Cricetulus griseus: one gene and its partners. The protein of the gene in region 1 interacts with the protein of each later gene in a pairwise test. Links are inferred from orthologs where the notes say so. Each region holds a gene or a part of one and is shown on either strand. Other genes may lie near its edges. The genes, in order: Pex5, acyl-coenzyme A thioesterase 8 and Ech1.

Region 1 (3,649 bases):
GAGCATGGCTATGTCACCATATTTTACTCATGGACATTGAAATTTCTAATTTTAGGTATTACAAATTGCATTACTCTTTTGATTTCTTTCAGCCATTCAAAAATGCTAAAACCATTCTTAGCCACTGAACCATTTGCAAATGAGTGGCAAATCCACCTATCCACAGGCCACACATGATCATCTGAATTCAATAGAATAAGTATGTTCACACTCAACCTTAACTGCTGTCCATCATCAATCCATCCTTCAGGCCACTCTGTGGAAAGCAGATTGTTGTCACATATAATTTCCTAATGAATGTATTTATGCCTCAAAGCTACTGAGAGTCTTACTAACAGTGGCTGTACTTCCTGAAGCTTGTACAAGGCCTGTGTGAGCAGTCAGCGGTGATGAATGCTCTTGTGTCTCCAGAAAACAATGTGACAAATGAATGCACTCAACTCCCAAACACGAGTTTCCTCTAGAGTCCGTTACCTATTGTTTTTAACGTCTCATCACTTACTGTTCAATGAGGAATTAACTACTATCCCCCTCTGCAAAAAGAAAACATTTGCAGAGGTGAGGAAAGAACCCTCTGAAGGAGCCCTTCACAGACTAGAGTGCAGAGAGCTGAGAGCTGAGTGTTACTACACATCCTGAAAGCTCTAACCCAGCCAGTCGTCTTGTCTGATCCACTCCTTGGGCTGTTGCAAAATCTCACACAATCACACTGTGGATAAAGCACAGCTTCAAAGCGTCTCTACATCACAGAAACTTTTTCTAACAGTGAACAGTGTTTCAGTGTCTCTTTAGGCCACAGGTGTATGAAAAATCTAAGGGTGATCAATAAAAAATATTTAATTTTAAAAAAGTATAAAGAGGGATAAGGAGACAGCTGAATGGATAAAGCACCTGCAGGCAAACAGGAGGACCAGAGTTCAGATCCCTAACTCCCAAGATTAAAAACCAGGCAAGCATGAAGTCCAGTTGGAGAGTGGATCCACAGGGCAAGCTGGCCTGACTGCAGCTGTGTCAATGACCTCTTGGGGGGGGGGCAGGATTGGGGGACACAGGAACCCTGTCCCAAGTGGGAAAGTGGAAAGCAATGAAGGGAAGACACCTTATGTTAATACCTGACCTCAGCACACACGTGCACACCACAGACACATGCAAAAATGTAAGTAACACCTAAAAAGCACAGAAAGACCCATGAGTTTATCTGACAACGAACTCACACCCCCACTTTTAAAGTATTCCATATAATTCAGTACAACTTAGCTTAAGGACAGACAGAACTTAACTCTTCACTATTAGTGAATAATAAAATGGAGCATTGTTGTGAAGCATTAGTGCAGAGGGTTCTAAGCCTCATTTTGCAATATTTCAAGTTATCACTGACATCAAACAGGATTCGTGGATCTAATAACTTACAGGTTTTGTTTGTTTTGAAACAATCTCACTAATTTACAACCCTCCTGACTTAGCCTCACAAGTGCTAGGATTACAGATGTGTACCATCTTGCCTGGGTCCCTTGTTATATTTTTAAGTTTTTTGTGTATTTGGTCCAGCATGTCTTAAATTTAGCACTTAAATAATGAGTGCTAAATTAAGCTTCAAACTTAAAAAGTTATTCTGTGTATATGTCATAAATTCCAGAGTAATAAACATTAAGAGAAAATATTACCCATATGAAAGCAGCACTTACATCTCCATTTATCAAATGTACGGAAATGCTAGTTATAAGTTAACAACATATCAAATTGTTAATGTAGGACAATAAGAGTGCTATTCTATGAGAGGAATTTATACTGTGGCAAAATACAAGGTGAAATCCCTAGAAGGAAGCAGCCCCTCAATGTACCACACAAGACCATTTTTGAACAAGCCCAGAGCAGATGGAAACACCACGGTCCCATTTTCCCTTGTAGCAGGTTGTTCTGAGGCTCTCAAGCCCCGACCTTCTCACAGTCCCTGAGCTTCCCTCTCCCATCTGGGCACAGCTCCCTATGTCAACATCCACCTCCACCACCCAGCTCTGAATCTCAGGGTCTGGTCCTTCCTCCTCCACAGTTGAGCTGAGAAAGAGGTGTTACTCTGATGGGGGATGTCCTTCTGGACACTATGAATATATGTTTCTCTTATTGGTTGATGAGCAGGAAGTATAGGCAGGGGCTACCAGACTACAAGAATGCTGGGAAGAGGAAGGCAGAGAGGAGCCGATAGGGAGACACCATGCAGCTGCCAAGGGAGCCAGAGGGCCAGGTATCACCAGTAAGCCAAGACAAAGTGGAGATACACAGATTAATAGAAATGGGTTAATAATTAAGAGAGAGCTAGCCAAATAAGAAGCCTGAGCCATCAACAAAAAGTTTATAATTAATATAAGCCTGAGACCAGGCAGGACAGAAACCTCCTGTCATCATGGCTCCACTCCTACTGTCTTCCCTCTCATGCTTCAATGATCCTGCAACTCACAAGCAGATTTACTCACAAACATCGAAGCCAAAAGCTCACGTTACATGCAAAATCCAAACATCTTCTCCACAGACTACTGGGAAATGTTCTTATTGTTTAAATTATTTAATGTAATTCTTTGAAATCCTGGATCGGGACAAGAGCTTGTTGCTACAAGAAGAGATCAGAACTTAAATGAGAGCTGTGGGTATAGCTCAATGGGATAGTTAGTCCTTTCTAGCACACACAACCCCTGGCTTGGTACCCAGCATTGGGAGTGGGGGAGCAGGTGTTCCAACTCATGAGCTAAAAGAGAAGTACATGCCACAGTGTGGACAGAGAATGATCCATCAACTCCCACTGCCCAGCAGAGGGGCCAGCAGCCAATAAATCATCCCAGTGAACCTGCAAAGAGGACCTACCTACCCATCTGTTCTTAGTGCGTCGTGTGTAAGCCCCCTAGTGGGCGCTAAGTCACGGTGTGATGTGCAGAGGCATTCTTACTAACCACTGAACCCCAAGAACACAGGACCATTCAATTCCTGGACAGCAGGTGCCAAGGTATCATCACACTTCACAGAAGCCGCTCAAAAGTAGCAACAGCTTCAGCATGGAAACTTCCCGTTCCAGAACCTGGAAAGCCAGGGGCTCCTTCCTACCTTGTCATAGGAAGCAGATGTGAGGTCATCATAGTCAGAAAGCCAGGGGTGCGCCTCAGCATCCCGTTTTGCCATCTCCTCCAACTCTGCCTGCAACTTGTCCCAGAAATCGACATCAGACTGTAAGGAAGGGAGGGCAGATAGAGAAAGGCGGTGCTTCGTGCCCACCCCACCCTCACCCCCACTCTACTGGGGTGTGTTCCTAGGGCAACAGGCCTTAAACTTTAATGTGTTCAGCAACCATCAGAGAAGCTTTTGTAAAATGCAAATTCCTCAACCCTACCCCCAGATTCTGATGCAGGAATCTGGAGCAATGTCCAAGAATTTGCATTTTTTAAAAAGCACTTATCCTGCACCTACACAATTCCAACACGGATGACCCAGTACATTCTGAGACAATGCCCATCACCTCTGGCACTAACAAAGCCATACTCCCCATGGGAGGGCATGGCCCTGGGGTACTTGTGTTCACACCAGCGGCTCTCACCTCTATAGCTGACTTGGCTCGTTCAAATTCTACATCCAGGGCAGACGTGTTTCCTGACCTTGTGAACTG
Region 2 (3,935 bases), on another chromosome or scaffold:
ACTTTTCTTGAATGTTCACAGTAATGAGTGGTTCGATGAACTATGGGTCCAGACTGCCTAACATCTGAGCAAGCCACCTGGGTTTCCTGTGCTCATGCCTCTTATCAATTGGCGTGATGACCATACTTGTCATGTGAAGTCCTGGCAAAGAATGGGTTATGGTCATGTGCAATGCTTGGGTTGGTACCTAGGTCTTTTTTGTTTGTTTTTGGTTTTCAAGACAGATTTCTCTGTGGCTTTGGAGGCTGTCCTGGAACTAGCTCTTGTAGACCAGGCTGGTCTCGAACTCAGAGATCCGCCTGCCTCTGCCTCCCAAGTGCTGGGACTAAAGGTGTGCACCACCAACACCCGGCTAGTGCCTAGGTCTTAACTGTGTGTTTGCTTCAAGGCAGGTCACCTTATTACTCTCATGTTTCAAATGGGAAAATAGGCTCAGAGAGATGACTAACTTGCACAAGGCTTCGTGGCTGAAGTGACAAGGAAGGGATTCGAACACTACTGCTTTGCCAGCTCCATGAGGAAGCTTTGCAGGACAGAAGCCCCTATGGAGAAATTGTGGGGACCAGAAGAGGAAGCACAGAGAAGCTTCCTCTCCTTGGGACTCTTTGGCCCTGTGTTTACTTTCAGGGACCCTAACCTCCAGGAGAAATACCGAGTGGGGCTGAACCGAATTGCTGCCCAGGAGGTACCTATTGAGATCAAGCTGGTGAACCCACCCACCCCGAGCCAGCTGCAGACACTGGAACCCAAACAGATGTTCTGGGTGCGAGCCCGGGGCTATATTGGTAAGAGGACTGATGAATTGGAGAAAAATACTCCAGGGCTCTAGGCCTTGCCACTCATTTGCCCTCTGTTGCTTGGGTATCCCACCCTCTCTTTGGGCCCCTTTCCTAATCTGAATTATGCAGAATTTGGCTCACTTTCTCACCAGAGCCCTTACCCTTTAACATGAAAATAATGAGATGACTGTAATCCCATTGTTGGACCTTTCTGGGGGAAGCAAGGTACCTTGCTGAGGTTCTTATCTAGGCCAGAGGCACCATCGACATCTTTGTACAGATTGGAAAATGCCTGTTTTGGGACACAGAGAGTGACTGGGTGTGAGAGATTTGGGAAGAATGATTTGCATTTGTCTTACTCCTGTCCTTAGTCCCCACCTCCTTCATCCTTACACACCACCCCCAACCCTGGAACAGATGCCCTTGCACAATGACTAATTGGTGTGTGGCAGCCCTTTTCTCCCCACTTCCCTGCAGATCCTGAGCTGGAAAGCCAGGAGCCCAGGGCTGATGGGGTCGGGACCTGTTGCAGGGGAGGGCGACATCAAGATGCATTGCTGTGTGGCTGCCTATATCTCTGACTACGCCTTCCTGGGTACAGCATTGCTGCCCCACCAGTCCAAGTATAAAGTGAACTTCATGGTCTCGCTGGACCACTCCATGTGGTTCCATGCCCCATTCCGAGCCGACCACTGGATGCTCTATGAGTGTGAGAGCCCCTGGGCTGGTAAGTGTGGGCCTGTGTCTTTGGGAATGGTAGGAACCCGAACCTGCTTTATTTATAGATGCTACTGCCTCTTTCTCCTTTCTGGGGATGCTGCACAGGGCCCTTGCACTGCTGCCCCTCTGGGTATTCGTGTTGTCTTCAAAGGTATTCAAACACGTCAGGAATGATCGAGTTTATCTCAGAGACCCAGGGCAGATGCCCGAACCACTTTAGATGCCATGGATGAACTTGGGGAAATCCTTTTTTTCTGATGACTTTTTTTTTTTCTTTCAGGGAAGGGTAAGATCTCATTATGGAGCTATGACTTGCCTAGAACTTACTAGGATCCACATGTTTCTGCTCTGTGAATATCTGTGTGCTACTGTAGCCCAGCTTTTTTTTTTTTTTTTTAATCAACCAGGGTTTCATGTAACCCTTGCTTGTCTTGAACGTCATATGTAGTGGAGTCCTCCCTGGAACTCCTGACCCTCCTGCCTCCACCTCCCAAACGCAGGAGCCACCATGCCCTGCTTCTCAGTTTGTTTTTTTTTTTCATCTGAATAAACAGGTTATGTTAGATGGCACTATCTAAAAAGCCATCAGGCTGTTACTTGAGGGAGCTTTTTCTAAACAGATTGCATTCTGCCCCAGCAGGTCCTAGATCAGGTCCAGGAAACTGCCCTTTTTGTTTGCTTGGTTTTGGTTTTTCAAGACAGGGTTTCTCTATGAAGCCCTGGCTGTCCTGGAGCTTGCTCTGTAGACCAGGCTGGCCTGGAACCCAGAGATGAGCCTGCCTCTGCTTCCTGAGTGCTGGGATTAAAAGTGTGTGCCACCATGCCCTGGCTGTAAACTGTGTTTTAAGGATCTCCTTGGGTTGGCAGGATGGGACAGTGCACTCAGTGGTCTCTAGAGATGCCCCTGTAGGGAGCCAAGAGAGACACAGACTCTCTGATGTCTAGTGTTAGAGCCCTGGCTCTTTTATAATGAAGTACACTTCAGAGGAAGAAAAGCTTTGCTTTATAAAACAAACAAAACTTAAGTAACCCCTTACAGACAGGAAAGGGTTACTCAGATACCACCAGCCTCACAGGACAAGACTCCCAACCTTGAAGTAGGACAACTCAGTCGGCTTTGGCCTGATCCTTGGGGCCAAGCCTGAGCCTCTTTGAACTTTAGTGTCATCGTCTGTAAAACAGTGTAAGAAATGAAGCCCATACTCTGGCTAGTTAGATCAGAGTGGGCTCTGCTATGTGTAAAGAAAGCCTAAGTTAGCTCCTAAGGATGACTAACTCAGGCTGAAGCCACCAAGGTTGAGAACCTCTTGGTGGAAAGGGAAGGAGGTCACCCCTCATGGTCTCAGGTCCTCTCTGAGCCACCTTCTGGTCCCTAGAGGACTTGCTTGGCTTATCATAAAAGGAAAGGATGGATTTCTGACAGTGGCCTGAGAAGCAGCAATCTGCTTGGCCGAGCCTGTCAGAGTGCCTTTCTCTGTGATGGGATATGTGAAAGTGCTTTCAGACCATCAAGTGGAGGGGGAGGCCCCTCCCCCAGCGACTGTAACAGGCTCACAAAGGGGTATTTGGAGTAGTTATGTCCCAATGAACCCTTGTGTGGGGCAGCTCTGCCTTGTCAATCCCTTCCGAAGGCAAAGCAGGCTTGTGCTGAAGTAGAGGCCATTCTCACCCTTCTCCTTGCCCACAGGTGGCTCTCGAGGGCTAGTGCATGGGCGGCTGTGGCGTCAGGATGGGGTCCTTGCTGTGACCTGTGCCCAGGAGGGTGTGATCCGATTGAAGCCTCGGGTATCAGCGAGTAAGCTGTAGTCAAAGATAACTGGCTTGGCCTGGGATTTTAAAGAACTGTTTCTACTGCCATTCCTGAGGCAGGGGTCACAGCAGACAGCTGGGCTGCCTGCCCCTCATATCTAATAAAGAAACTGCTAACACTGGAGTAGCTGACCTTTCATTTCCCTGGGCAGAACTACAGCCCTCCTCCTGGCTCTAAACTCCAGGATTCCAGTAGTAGTCCCCAGCACTTCAGCCAAGCTGTTTTACTGGTGCCCAGGCCCATGGAAAAGGAAACATTGATCCTGACCTTGGCCACAGTCTCTGGCTATGGTGGGCTGAAGAGCCGTTGCCAAAACTTCCTCCTTGTATCATCCTAGGGTAACCCCAGGCAAAGCCTGTTTGGAGCCCAGCCCCACAAAACGAAGTTCCTCTCAGTCTGCTACAGACTCTTTCTGGAACTACTTTAGGGGTTCCCAGAACCCTTTCCAGCCCCTGGTTGCTCACTGTGTCCCTTTATGGCCTCCAGCCCCCTGACCTGGGGCAGCCCCTCTCTCAGAAGTGGCCTTGAGACTGGTGAAAGTTAGTCCAGCACCTCTTTGATAAGCAGCTCCTTGAGGCTGGGGGGCGGGATGGGGGTGAGGCCTGCCTCCTGTAGGGACTGAAGCT
Region 3 (2,978 bases), on another chromosome or scaffold:
GTATCGACATCATGGACATGGCGCACCTCCTGCAGGCCCCAGGGGATGATGCAGCCCGCACGGCCTGGTATCTCCGTGACCTCATCAGCAAATTCCAGAAGACCTTCACTGTCATTGAGAAGGTGACTTAGGGGCTGGGTGGCATCCCTTCTGCCTACCCTTCCTCTGCCAGCTTTGATCCCAACCCTCCTTTTCCATTTCAGTGCCCCAAGCCGGTGATTGCTGCCATCCATGGAGGTTGCATTGGTGCAGGTGAGTCTGGAACCACTGGCCACCACTAGGGTGCCTGCATTGGTAAGGCTGCTACCCTCTGCCCTGCCCCCCTCCCGCAAGTTGGCCTCAGCTCAGCTGTTGCTAATTACAGTTGGTCCCCAGCTGTGACCCTATGTTTTGGGAAGAAGTATTGGTTCCTGTCATTATTCATTGTTCCTGGCCTTTTCCTTCCAGGTGTGGACCTCATCACTGCCTGTGACATTCGCTACTGTGCCCAGGATGCTTTCTTCCAGGTCAAGGTGAGGCACTTCTGAGGTCTTGCCTTCTGGGACCCTTGCAATGCTAGGCAGCCACAGAATGGGGTGGCGGGGGGGGGGTGGCAGTGGTGGTGGGGAGCAAGGCAGAGACAGGGCAGGCCGAGGCAGCTGGTCGTCAGGGTTTCCTGGATGAAGGTGTAAGGTTCTGGCAAAGATGGGGCGTGGAGAGACACAGGGCTGTCATGGTTCCACAGTTCAAGGTATGGTCAATTGTGTCAGGGAAGTGAAGACAGAGAGAGCTTGAAGGAGCCATTGCCTCATCAGTGTAGTCAGAAGAGAGCAGTGTGTGCTGGGGTCCAGCCCCCCACATGCCAGGGTCCTGCCCACAATTAACTGAATCAGTTAATGCAATCAAGACAGTACCTCATGACAGGCGCGTGTGGTGGTGCAAACCTTTAATCCCAGCACTCGGGGGCGGAGGCAGGAGTTCGAGGCCAGCCTGGTCTATAGAGCAAGTTCCAGGACGGCCAGGGCTACACAGAGAAACCCTGTCTTGAAAAAACAAAACAAAACAAAACAACAAACAAGGTAGTACCTCAGAGGCTCATCCCTAGATTCTGCCAGATTGACAGTAAACATTTGCCACCCCACAGACCAACCTGAGCCTCACAGTGAGACCCTGTCAGAGAGGTAGGCCGGTGCTGTGGGTGTACGTAGCTCACAGTAGAGGGCATGAGTGGGGGGAAAACGCTCTGAGTTAGCACTGCCCAGCACCGGAAGGAAGGGGATGCAGGCCCAGCTGTGGTTTCTGCATAGACACAGCTGGAACTGCTGCCATCCTTACAGGCCGAGGGGTGGAGTGGAGCCCAGGGCTCTGGAAAGGGCCTTGTGAGCAAGCTGGGGGGCCAGGAGGTAGCATCGCCTCTTGAGGGTGTCTGAGCTGGAGGGTGGTGAAACCACTGAGCTTGCGTGGTAAACAATGGCAGACACAGAACAATCACTCATCAGTGTTCCCCTCCCTCTAGGAGGTGGATTTGGGCCTGGCTGCCGACGTGGGGACACTGCAGCGACTGCCCAAGGTCATCGGGAACCAGAGGTGAGAGGGGTGATGATGACCCGGAGAGGAGGGGTCAGACCCAGGTGAAGGGTGGCTCCTGATCGCCCTCCCCTTATGTAGCCTGGTCAACGAGCTGACCTTCACGGCCCGAAGGATGATGGCTGACGAGGCCCTGGACAGTGGGCTGGTCAGGTAGGACCCTGCCTGGCAGATGGCAGGGAGGGGCACAGGGCCATCCAGGCCAGGGTGGGGCTCCATGGTCTCCCGTATCCTCACTCCAAATGGCCTTTCTCGGTACAGCTATTTCTTTCTCTGAGCATGACCCTGTGGCTGAGCTCTTTGGTTGGGGTTTCCGTTTTCTCTGTGAGGCCACCTGGCCATCATCCACAGGGGAGAGGGAAAGTGTCCCCCTCACCTCTTCCTTCCCCGGCAGCCGTGTGTTCCCAGATAAGGACAACATGTTGAATGCAGCCTTTGCCCTGGCGGCTGAGATTTCCAGCAAGAGCCCTGTGGCTGTGCAGGGGTCAAAAATCAACCTAATCTACTCCCGAGACCATTCCGTGGACGAGAGCCTTGACTACATGGTAAGGCTCAACTACACCAATCATGGCCCTACCTGGGGGTCAGCATGTGTGCACACCTCTGATTGGTGCCCTGCCGGTCTTTCCGACGCCCCTGATCCAGGCCACCTGGAACATGAGCATGCTGCAGACCCAGGACATAATCAAGTCCGTCCAGGCAGCCATGGAGAAGAAGGACACCAAAAGTGCCACCTTCTCCAAGCTCTGAGTGCCTTCCTGATCCTGAGAGAGGAAGGCTCCGTGGAGGGTCAGTGCCTTCTTCCATGTGGTCGCCCATTGTACAAGCTTACGACTTAGTTCTTCAGGGGCCTTATCTTCACTGTGAACAATAAAGTTTGAACACAGCCTGGTGTCTTTACTGCAGTGGGTGGCGGCTCAGATGCCTGGCTCCACGGAGGGCAATTGGGAAGGCCGGGAGGCAAATCTGACTGGGCCAAGAGGAAGTGTGCAAGGAACAGAGGCCGCAGAAGGCTGAAAGGCCACACCTGTCCCCTGTGTCTGTCCCCAGCAAGGTGTGGCACAGCACTGTAGGCCTGGGTACCTGGCACTGGGTGAGGTCATTGCTACCAGCCCTATGCCTCTCTTTCTCCTTTTTCTTTCTCTGCTGGAGCAGCAAGTGTGCTTAGCCCCTGAGCCATCTCTCCAGTCCCCTTAAGAAAATGTTGATTTGGGGGCTGGAGAGATGGCTCAGCGGTTAAGAGCTCTTGACTGCTCTTCCAGAGGTCCTGAGTTCGATTCCCAGCAACCACATGGTGGCTCACAACCATCTAAAATGGAATCAGATTCCTTCTTCCGGTGTGCATGCAGACAGAGCACCCATACACATGAATACATAAGTCTTTCGAAAATGTTGATTTTGTTGTGTTGTTG

Evidence for each region.
Region 2: the proteins of Pex5 (region 1) and acyl-coenzyme A thioesterase 8 interact in binary tests that used the Homo sapiens proteins (3 or more experiments, as listed by UniProt). The link is inferred for Cricetulus griseus from reciprocal best matches to the Homo sapiens genes PEX5 and ACOT8.
Region 3: the proteins of Pex5 (region 1) and Ech1 interact in a two-hybrid assay, tested with the Homo sapiens proteins (2 studies listed by BioGRID and IntAct, with this or other methods). The link is inferred for Cricetulus griseus from reciprocal best matches to the Homo sapiens genes PEX5 and ECH1.

The regions. Positions count from the first base shown.
Region 1 is NC_048601.1:21,910,942-21,914,590, reverse strand, and holds part of Pex5 (peroxisomal targeting signal 1 receptor), read right to left. Parts: coding exon 3,581-3,649; intron 3,214-3,580; coding exon 3,094-3,213; intron 1-3,093.
Region 2 is NC_048599.1:14,631,524-14,635,458, forward strand, and holds the end of acyl-coenzyme A thioesterase 8, read left to right. Parts: intron 1-627; coding exon 628-785; intron 786-1,311; coding exon 1,312-1,506; intron 1,507-1,779; coding exon of another isoform or gene 1,780-1,829; exon of another isoform or gene 1,830-3,186; coding exon 3,187-3,305; 3' UTR 3,306-3,432; downstream 3,433-3,935. Other genes in the region: Snx21 (sorting nexin-21), read right to left, coding at 3,850-3,935. UniProt on the Homo sapiens protein: Catalyzes the hydrolysis of acyl-CoAs into free fatty acids and coenzyme A (CoASH), regulating their respective intracellular levels. Displays no strong substrate specificity with respect to the carboxylic acid moiety of Acyl-CoAs.
Region 3 is NC_048602.1:7,032,466-7,035,443, reverse strand, and holds the end of Ech1 (delta(3,5)-Delta(2,4)-dienoyl-CoA isomerase, mitochondrial), read left to right. Parts: coding exon 1-122; intron 123-203; coding exon 204-252; intron 253-447; coding exon 448-512; intron 513-1,495; coding exon 1,496-1,566; intron 1,567-1,647; coding exon 1,648-1,719; intron 1,720-1,960; coding exon 1,961-2,111; intron 2,112-2,211; coding exon 2,212-2,316; 3' UTR 2,317-2,453; downstream 2,454-2,978. UniProt on the Homo sapiens protein: Isomerization of 3-trans,5-cis-dienoyl-CoA to 2-trans,4-trans-dienoyl-CoA.